Linked DNA regions of Mus musculus: region 1 is reported to be linked to region 2. Evidence: microRNA targets listed by miRTarBase, many of them from high-throughput screens and not tested one by one. Region 2 holds a microRNA gene; the other region holds the end of a gene's coding sequence.

The links. The annotated mature microRNA mmu-miR-484 reads UCAGGCUCAGUCCCCUCCCGAU and lies in region 2 at 3,571-3,592, opposite strand. An mRNA with a match to its seed (bases 2 to 7 or 8) in the 3' UTR can be bound and repressed. Matches are read on the target gene's strand: a 7mer-m8 pairs with bases 2 to 8, a 7mer-A1 pairs with bases 2 to 7 and ends in A, and an 8mer does both.
Region 1: the mRNA of Bckdk is a reported target of mmu-miR-484. Seed matches in the 3' UTR shown: 7mer-A1 at 3,455-3,461.

Annotation. Positions count from the first base shown.
Region 1 is chr7:127,907,687-127,913,058 of GRCm38, reverse strand. It overlaps Bckdk (branched chain ketoacid dehydrogenase kinase), which reads right to left. Exons shown (of 12, transcript NM_009739.3): 11 at 4,980-5,138; 12 at 3,395-4,892. The coding sequence ends at 4,748. Kat8 (K(lysine) acetyltransferase 8) reads right to left here and starts at 542. Exons shown (of 11, transcript NM_026370.2): 1 at 317-542. The coding sequence starts at 527.
Region 2 is chr16:14,157,850-14,163,221 of GRCm38, reverse strand. It overlaps Mir484 (microRNA 484), which reads right to left and starts at 3,596; the gene lies at 3,530-3,596. It overlaps Marf1 (meiosis regulator and mRNA stability 1), which reads left to right and starts at 3,948. Exons shown (of 27, transcript NM_001081154.2): 1 at 3,948-4,078.

The sequences.
Region 1 (5,372 bases), not on the chromosome of region 2:
AATGTAAAGACAGACAACAAAACACCAATGAAGGAACAGATATAGCAAAAAAAAAAAAAAATGAAGCCTGAAATCGAACCAGAGTGAATGTTCACAGGCCAACTCTGTATTCAGCTGACTGGTGGCTTTACAGGTGAAAACAAGCATGGCCTGACTCCAACCTCCAATTACAAAGTGGGCTTCTCAGCTCCCGAAATCCCGCCTTCTTACCTGAGTCACCACCCTGGCCCCAAGACTCCCAGCCCCACAGAGCGCCCATTCCTAGGCCATGCCCATTCCCTAAATCCCGCCCCTAGGCCCTGGGCCCCGCCCTCACGCCAGGTGCTATCCGGCCGCCGGCACAGGTACGTTTCTCCGATCTCCACGGTGACTTCTGGTTCGCCACGCGCCGGAGTCGGCGGAGAGACCCGGCCCGGGGACCGGGCAGGCCCCTCGACTGCTGCATTTTCCCCCGGGCCGGGCTCTCCCTCCCCTACAGTTCCTGAAGTTGTTGCAGCAACTGCAGCTGTAGCTCCCTGTGCCGCCATTGCTGTGCCGGAAGTGACCGGCCAGAGAGCCGCTTTTATTTCCGGATCAGTGGGGGCGGGCATAGTCTTGCGTGTTGGAGGTGGGGAGGTTGTGACGTGGCAAGGTTTTGTTTTGTGCGTACTGCGTGTGGCTGTTGTTGCTAAAAATTGGCCCAACTTGAGACAGGGTCTAATTACAGTCCTAACTGACCTGGAACTCGCTATGTAGACCATACTGGCCTCGAGATCCACCTGCTTCTGCCTTTTGAGTCCTGGTATTTAAAGACGTGCACCGCCACACCCGGACTTAGCTATTTTTGTGGAGTTGTTTGTTGTGACATAGCCCGGGCTGCCTACACACTTGCTGACCTAGCTCCTCCTGCCTTGGGTTCCCGAATGCTGGGATTAAAGGCGAGCATTCCTATTTCTTGAGAAAGGTTCTCAGAGGCTAGCCTGAAATTCATTGAACGTGCAGCAGTATCCTGGGGATTACAGTTGTACTCTATCACTGAATTAAGTTTTATGGGATGCTTGGGGCCAAAACCCAGGGCTTTTTATATGCTACCCACTCTATATTTGCGTCTCTCGCTCAGGGTGGGAGCAAAAACCAGTTGAGACAGGAAAAGAACAGGTGTGCCAAATAAACTACCTTCAAAATAAACTTACTCACTCTTTCTCTCTCTTTTTTTTTCAAGACCGGGTTTCGCTGTGTAGCCTTGGTTGTCCTGGAACTCACTCTGTAGACCAGAAATCTGCCTGCCCCTGCCTCCCATGTGCTGGAATTAAAGGCCTGCACCACCACTGCCCGGCAACTTCTTTTCTCTTAAGAATTTCATGTAGCGGGGCTGGAGAGATGGCTCAGCAGTTAAGAGCACTGACTGCTCTTATGAAGGTCCCGAGTTAAGACCCCATGGTGGCTCACAACCATCCATAACAAGATGTGACACCCTCTTCTGGAGTGTCTAAAAACAGCTACAGTGTACATGTATTTACATATAATAAATAAATAAATCTTTGAAAAACAAAAACAAAAAACCTCGAGCGTGGCCAGGGAGAACCTTGAGTGGTTGTCTAACCTCCACCTTTCAAATGTTGAGGTTAGGATGGCACCACACCAGGTTCATGCACTGCTAGAGATTGTACCCGAAGCTTCATTAATGTTAGGCAAACACTACCACTGAACATCTCCAGCCAAGAAGGGTTTGAGCAGGGAGACAGTGCCTGGAGAATCTGTAGTGACACTCCTCCAAGTACAGAATACCAATTCTCTGAGACTCAGTAAAGGTTAAACCATATATACATATGGTTAAGTCATAGCTTTATATAAGCTATATAGCAGCATTCAAGGTAAACTTATTGGTAGATGAATTGGAGTAACACATGTCTAATTTGCTGTTTAACTTCACCTTTCTACACACACACACACACACACACACACACACACACACGTGTTTTCCTTAATTACTGTATTGGGGCACCGGACACCTTTAATAGCTTGCCCAGTGCATACTACTTTAGGAACTGCGTTGTGGGCGAACTAGTCGATGAAAAGAAGCAGCACTGTAAGACCTTTGTTTTTTAGGGATGATAATGCCAGCCAGTTCCTCCTTAGCTGGCTTACTGGAATAAAGCTCCTTTTCTCACGCTCTATTGTTGAGACTGACTGGCTCCTGCCACATGGTTTTACGTACCCAGCATGCACTGGTAACTTTTACAGTAGCACACAACAGTGTGTTGAGTCAGAGTAGGGCTGGATAAACATCTCATTTAGACATTCTCTGAAAGTTCTTTGATTCATAATTTGGTGATCAGTTTTCATAAGGTTTCTTTTTTTTTTTTTTTTTTTTTTTTGGTTTTTCGAGACAGGGCTCCTCTGTATAACCCTGGCTGTCCTGGAACTCACTCTGTAGACCAGGCTGGCCTCGAACTCAGAAATCTGCCTGCCTCTGCCTTCCGAGTGCTGGGATTAAAGGTGTGTGCCACCATGCCCGGCTTTCGTAACAGTTCTTGAGAGGGGCAGCTTGAGGTCAGAACTCAGACACTATGGTCCAAGAAATATCTGACCGTTGTGTATCTATGTGAGATGGCATTGGGAATAGAATAGATCCTTTTGTGTGTGGCACTGAGGGAAAGCTGGCTGGATGATTCGGCATGCACTGCTCTTGTCGACAATCTCAGCTCTGCTTCCACAGCAAGCAGCTCACTACTGCCTGTAACTCCAGCTCTAGGGGATTCGAAACCCCTCTGGACTCCACAGGCCATCTACAGCAATGAGCACAAACCCACAGGTAGACACACATACAAAAAATAAGAGAGAAGGCACTAGGAAAAACTGGTTACTTTGCTGTTGGGCAGTAAAGAAGTTCAGAGCAGGATAATACCAGGTGCCCGGCACCCTAAGAATGAGAAGATACAACCAAAGGACACCTCCCACTCTAGCCCTCTTCAGGATCATTACAGCTTTTGCCCAGGCTTCTACCTCACTTGACACTTCACCTGACATCTTCAGATGATGTCCTTCCTAAGTAAGGACTAGCCTAGGCATAGTAAATACACCATGCTGTCCCCATGCCAGGGCCAACCATGATTAACATGTAAATCCAACTGTTTTTTCCAGAACTTGGGGGCTGTGCTGAGACACCCTCTACTTACTGTTATTGTGTTTATGAGTATGAACCTACATGTGTGCAGGTGAGAAGACTTGGCAGGACTCACGTAGTCCTCTCCTGCGATAAACTCTAGGAGATACCTTAGTGGCAGGTGCCTTTACTGCCGAACCATGTCGCTGGGCCCGGATGCTTTTTGTTGCTTCTGATGCTGTATCTGTGTTGTTGCTCTCTGTGGTTAACCTGTACTTTCATTCCTTTTTTTTTTTTTTTTTTTTTTTTGGTTTTTCGAGACAGGGTTTCTCTGTATAGTCCTGGCTGTCCTGGAACTCACTCTGTAGATCAGGCTGGCCTTGAACTCAGAAATCCGCCTGCCTCTGCCTCCCAAGTGCTGGGATTAAAGGCGTGTGCCACCACCCCCGGTCTGTATGTACATTCAAAGACTAGAACATGAGGCTCTTCTCTGACAACTACCCGTTAAGACAGGGTTTTGCCAAGCAGCCCAGGTTGGCCTTGAACTCGTGATACTCCTATGTAAGCATCACTAGTACTAGGACCACAAGTGTGTACATTTGATTCTACCTGGAAAGGCTAAAGTTTTCAGTGTAGGAATTTCTTCCATCCCAGCGTCAAGTGAGGGAACTGGTTACCATGGAGCCTCACTCTCTTATGTGTACCTGAGGGACAGTGGACTAGCTCTGGACTTCTCATTACAAGTCATTTCCTTGACCTCTCCCCTTTCCTTTCCTGCTTCTCCTACTCCCTTTTGGGAGTCCTACCAAGCAGGTCCGTAGGTCTTACACAGCGGGGAGAGTTACTCTTGGTTCAAAGTTCACCTAAAGTTCTGTTCCACACACTTCTGGTCACCGTGCTTTCTGCCCAAGTCCCTGGTCCTCCCTAAGACAACTTCTCCGTATCTGTCTGAGGTAATCAGGTCTCTGCATAACCTCATGCAATTCTTTTTGCAGCCACAGTGGGCAGGCAGTATTTTTAACCTCATGCAAGCTCAGGAATCAGGTGGCTTACAGACTGCCCAGTCTAGTGACCTTTACCTCTCAAACCCACGGCTGCCAGGAAGGGAAGAGTCGGGCCTGAAGCTAAGTCTTTTGGGGCCTCTGATAGCGTCTGGGGCCCAGAAAGACTTGTTCAATGAGCCCAAGTTGCCAAAGTCACTCTCACTCTTGCCAAATCAAATAGGCAAGAACCTTGAAATCACTTCTGCCACAGTGCCAGGACAGCCAGAGACTGGACATGACCAGGTTAACTCCCAAGGCCTAGGGAATCCAAAGGGGGCAGAAACAAAGCTCGCCTGCCCTCCCAACATTTGGGGCCCAAGAGGGCATTCAAAAATGCAAACTTTAATAAGCAGCAGGTCAAATGAGGAGTCCTCAAGAATGAGCAGAGCAGAGCTGGTATCAGAGGCCTCAGAGGCACCTGCTTCCTCCCCCCAAGGCCGGGAGGTAGAAAGCAGTGAGCCCTGCTGAGGAGGAGTGGTGCCCAGCTCCATCTAAGTCCACCTGTCTGAGGCCCTAAGCTCCATAAAGCGAAGTGGCAGTCTGTGGAGCCCAGCGGCCCCCTGCCAGGCCTAGGAGGTCCTCCGAGGAGTGTGGCAGGCTAGCCGGCCAAAATCCACCATTAGATTCTGAAGCTTTCCTCCCGACCATCAATGTGGCGGAGCCGTAGGTAGACATCCGTGCCAATGCCCTGCAGGGACTGCAGCTGCAGGGAGCCACCAAGATACTCTGCATATGCCCTGGACGTGGGCAACCCGAAGCCAAAGCTGGGAGCAGGGGATAGGATAGGGGTGTCAGAGGCCTGCGAGTCCTGGTTTACCCCTTCCCCCCATATTGGGAAGGTGGGGCCTTACCCATGCATAGGTCCTGACTGGCCACCACTGTGCATATCCAGGTGGCCGAAGAGGGGGTTGATTCGGGGGTCCTGGGTGCTGGCCTCAGCTGTGGTGAAGTGGTAGTCCATGACCCGATCCAGGTCCTTATGAGCGATTCCTCCACCCCGGTCTGAGATCCTGGCAGGATGTCAAGAACATGGACTTGGTCAGGTCTAATAGGTCTCACCCTAAGCATACAGTGCTGGGTCTATTCCTATTGTCTCTAAAGGTGGAATGTGACTTTATCATCTTCTACACTCACATCTGCCTGGGCCGCAGACTGCTTCTACTGTCCCATACAATTTGACATTAACTTTTACTCTCAGCAAACACCATCTCCCAACTGCAGGTTCCTCCGCTGGCCCCAAATCC
Region 2 (5,372 bases):
GGTTTGGAAACTTTTTCTCTCTAGGCCCGGGCGCGGCTGGGCCAAGCCTCGGTGGGGGCGGGAGGGGCCGCAGGAGGCGCAGGCCACTGGCCCGGAAGGCGGGCGTGGAGAGGGCCTGCTGGCGGCTCGGTACTCGCCGTGCCACGCACTCTGGAACATCCGCACGCCTCTCCTTCACACTGGTTGCATTTATCTGCTCTTGCTCTTGCCCAAGAATAGACAAAGGAGCAATTGGTCGGAGAAACCCGGGCATTAGGAATAGCTGATATTGGGTTACACTTGTAAGTGCCCTACCCGATTCCAAAAATGCTATACTAGCCCAGAATGCACAAAGACAAAAACAGGCATAGAGAACGACAAACTTCCGCCCAGCCCACAGGACCCTTGTTATTCCACAACTTTACACCCCAAATAGAATCTTTAACTGTTGTGGCTTCTTCTGAGACAGAATAGTTTAATGTGAAAGAACTTGACTTTGAATCCTAACTCCGCCGCTTACTAGCTATGTGTATTTGAAACAAGGTATTTAATTACTCGTGGATAAAATGGTCGTCGTCGTCGTCCCCCCCCCCCCCCCCCGAGCTAAATAAATAAGTTTACAAGACTTTGTGCAGTGCTTTGTAAATAAGCCGGGCAGTGGTGGAGCACACCTTTAATCCTAGCACTCGGGAGGCAGAGGCAGACGGATTTCTGAGTTTGAGACCAGCCTGGTCTACAGCGTGAGTTCCAGGACAGTCAGAGCTACACAGAGAAACCCTGTCTTGAAAAACAAACAAACAGGGCTGGCGAGATGGCTCAGGGGTTAAGAGCACCCGACTGGTCCCGAGTTCAAGTCCCAGTAGCCACATGGTGGCTCACAACCATCCATAACGAAATCTGATGCCTTCTTCTGGGATATCTGAGGACAGCTACAGTGTACTTACATATAATAAATAAATAAATCTTTAAAAAAAAAAAAAAGTCATCATATGGTTGCTAGGAATTGACCTCTAGGAGATCAGTGTTCTTAACTGTTGAGCAATCTCTCCAGCCCCTTGTTTTTTCCTTTTTTGAAACACTTTTCCTATGTAACTTGGGCTGGCCTCAAATTTCTGAGTATTCCCTTAGCCTTATTTTTCAGTGGGATCACAGGCCCAGCTAATAATAATTTCTTAACGTTAAGCCATTAATTGTTCATTAATTATTAAATACTATTAGGCACAGGTAATTTTACAACCTGGTGACTAAGACAAAGAATCTGATCTTAAAGGGTTAATACAGTAAACGGAAACAGAATTTCAGATGCCAAATGTTGCTGAAGACTATTTAGAGACTGGGAAGCCAGAGAAAGGCATAGTTAGCTTACATTTCTGGCAGTGTTGGCCTTGAACCTAGGCCCTTGGCCATGTTAAGCAAATACTGTATCATTCAGCTGTATCTCCAGCCTCCTAGAATTGTTTAAAAGATGAGAAAAAGGGTACAGGAAATCCAAGTGTTTCGATTTTGTACCTAACAAAAGGAGCTTCAGAAGGCTCTTTTTGACTCTTACAATCATGTTCTGTTCCCCTGGGCTACACAAGTAATGCCTCCTGCCCCCTGCCCCCTGCCCCTCTCCTCAGTTTTGTTGGTTGAACTCAATACCTTACCCACTCTAGGTAAATGCTCTACCACTGACCTATACCTTCAGCCCCCTTTTTTCTTTTCTTTTCTTTTTCTTTCTTTCTTTCTTTCTTTTTTTTTTTTTTTTTAGTCAAATTCCTTCTAAGATGCCCAGGCTGGACCTAAGCTCACCCTGTAGCCTGGATAAGCTGAATTTGTAATTTTGTCTCTACCTTTGAAGGAGCTGGGATCAAAGTCCTGGGCTACTGTAGTTGGCTTTGCTCTTTTTTTTTAAAAAAAAATTCTGTTCATTTTGTTTGTAGCTTTTGTGCTGTGACCAAGCTGAGAGTTTGACTTCTCTTCCTTTGATCCTGTCCTCATGGGTGGTAGAGGAGAACTCTGTTTAGTAACTTAGGTCTTTGGGGAGTTGAATCAAATGCAAAGTATCCAGTGAAACACCAATAATAAATCTCTGTTATCTTTGTTTCATAAATGTGAAGATTATTACTGAGCAAAGGAAAAAAAAAGGAAGTTGGTTTTTTTTTTTTTTTTAATGAGACAGGGTCTCTTTGTGCAGTTCTAGTTGCCCTGGAACTGTGCCACTACTTCTGGCAAAAAGTTGAAACCTACTTTTATTAAATAGTAGGTAGTGCTTTTAATTTTGTTGTTGTTGTTGTTTTGTTTTTCGAGACAGGGTTTCTCTGTATAGCCCTGGCTGTCCTGGAACTCACTTTGTAGACCAGGCTGGCCTCGAACTCAGAAATCTGCCTGTCTCTGCCTCCCAAGTGCTGGGATTAAAGGCGTGCGCCGCCACTGCCCGGCTTCTGGCAGACTTTTAAGTATAACTATTTTAAAGTAATAACCAGCTAGGACATTCTATACTGTGCCTACATTTAGATTATATTTTTTTCCTAACTTGTAACAGAAAGCAGCAAAGAGCTAGAAATTTCAGAAATTATCTTTCCCCCTATGGAATCCTGAAAACTCATATTTAAGCCAGGCATGGTTCTAAATAAAGGTTATGCTTTTACTTCTTGAACTTGTAGGCAACCGCAGGCAGATCTCTGAGTTTGAGGCTAGTGTACAGAGAGTTCCAGGGCAACCAGGGCTATCACACAGAGAAACCCTGTCTGGAAAAACAAACAAAAAAACCCAACTCATATTTAGGTCAAGTAAAAGTGAAGCCTTCAAGGCTCAGTGGGGTTGGGGATAGGGGTAGCGAGGATACAGAACAGTTTATCTGTTTAAAACATGAAGTATTTTTGATTTCACAAAGTTCTTATAACTTTAGCATCTTCTTTTTCGTGGCCAACCTGTCATCTGAAAAGTATTGGTTACAAAGCACTAGGTTTATTAAAACAAAACGTTTGCCAGGTGACACAAACTCCTTTAATCCTAGCACTCAGAAAGCAAGGGACTGCAAGTTCGAGTACAGCATAGTCTGCGGGGCAAGTTCCAGGCCAACCCAAGGCTACACAAGTGAGACACTGTCTCTGAAAAGAAAAAATAAAACTGGGTAAGGATATCATGTACTCTTAACTGTTGGTGTCAATATTCAGCAGCAGTCTTTGCATGTACTTGATCAGCACTGAAACTGCTATAGGTAGGGAGGACTTTGCCAAAAGCCCATTTGGCAGGTTTAACTGTTCTTTCTCCACTGGCCACTAGGTTGCGCTAAAAGATGCAGTGCAACGTGCACGATTTAATTTGTAAAAATAAGGGTTATCACGTGACGAGGCAGAGCATTAATACTTTATTTCACATTAATCTTCTCTCCTTAGTCCTCGCTCCCAAGACCTTTTAGAGCGGAACCCTAACAAATCCCATCTGGCAAGCCTTTCCTTGACTCCATCACAAAAGCTCCCTAGTTCTTCGCCTGGAAGATCCGTTCGACATGGCGTCATCAAACCAGTAGTGAGAACTCCTAAACTGGGGTTCCTGCTAAAAAAAATACGCCGCCAGCCCCCTAGGTAAGACCCTATTTTGAGGTTTATCGGGAGGGGACTGAGCCTGACGAGGCTGCAGGGCCGCGAGGCCCCGCCCCCCCCACTTCCCAGCGTGCCCTGCGCGGAGAAATACGCGGAGGCGAGGGCGGGGCGAAAGAAAAGACTGGGCGAGACTCAGGGAGGGGTGGAGCCAGAAAGGGGAAGGGAGGGACGGGGGAATGGGCGGGGCTACTGGAGGAAGCGACTGGGCGGAGTGGGGACGGGCTGGGAATGGGCGGAGAAAGGGAGCGGCCATAGGGGGCGGAGCAGAGGAAGGGTGTGGTATTATGGAGGAAGAGGTGAGGCAGGGAGGCTCGGAGAGAGGGGCGGGGCTAGTAGTAGAGAAGCGTATCGGTTTTGCGACAGGGGCGGGGCGGGGCGGAAGCGGAAGTGGAGGGAGCGCTTGGCGGCGGCGGCGGGAGCTGCGGAGTCGGGAATCAAAATAAAGGGCCTGGGGGGGGTGGGGGGTAGGCGGCGGTGTCGGAATGTGAGCCAAGAAGGAGCTAGTGGCTGAGGTGAGTCCTCTGTCAGTGCCGGGACTCCACTAGGGCGTACCGGATGCTCTGATCAGCAACGTAGCTGGTCTGGAAACGACGCCTTTTCCCCCCTCAGACTGATGCTTCTGGGATTGAAGGACCGGGACTGGGACTTGCCGAAGGGGCCGTGCGAAAAAGTCGCTCTCCAGTGCTCCCCCGGTCTCTTCCGAGGCGTTTAGTCCCAGCTGGCGCTTGTCTTCCTGCTCGCTCCCCGGCCCTCCAGGTGTCAGTAGCAACCTTCGCAGGATGTGCAAAGTTGGAAAGTTGAGAAAAAGGACAGTTGTGTGGCTGAGTCCCTTATTGTTTTTTTGTTTTTGTTTTAATAGCCACTTTGGATGCAGTTTCAGTTTCAGCCACCTCCCCAATTAATTCTAGCACGAACGTGGTGCTTTCTAGTTGCACTAGTATCTTTTGGACTTTCCAGGATCTTTCTGTTTTGCATACAAGGAAATTGTCAGCTAAATGGTCTTTCTTCACCTTCAGTGAGCTCTACATTTGTCCAGGGTCATTTATTGATATTTGTGAGGCACAGTTGAGTTGGAAGGTTGGGATACCGTATATTCACATACAGTCAATATTGTTATGGAATTTATATTCTATTGGAGAAAAAAGAGTCATTTTAGTTAAAAGGTAGAAGACGAGCAAATACATAGGACTGGGAGTTTGTGGCAGGGGGGAGGTCATTTGGGAAATAATTCATCCTCAGGTATCTCTTGTCACCAAACTACAAATAAATAAGTGAGGGGGTTGCTATGATGATTAGACTCACAAGAGATGGGCCTTATGTTTATAAAGATGACATGCCCACAGCAGCACAGATAGGTGGCCTTCAGAACCAACATGCAGGCAGTACAATGTTGCACACTGCATTCTCAGCCACTGTCTAAGTTGCTCAGAAACTGAGTTTCAGAAAGGAAGACTCTCTCACATTAGAACTTCCCCTGACTGATTCGGCTGCTTAAATGGAATTCCTAGGAATATTTGGGAAATTTTTAGGCTGCAGGCCACTAATGTTTTTCCTTATATTTGTTTGAACTGAGTAATCTGTCTATATATGCCTGCCTGCCTGCCTTGTCTATCTGTCTATCTATCGACAGAGTTTCACTGTGTAACCACAGCTGCTTGGAACTTGGCTGCCCTTAAACTTGCAGATATCCTCCTGCCTCTGCCTCCTGAGCTACCACTCCTGGCTCTTTGAGCAATATTGAAGGCACCTTGGTGTAGAAAGAGGTAGGTGAGCCTTTTGACCTGAAGCTAGCTATGAAACTTTATT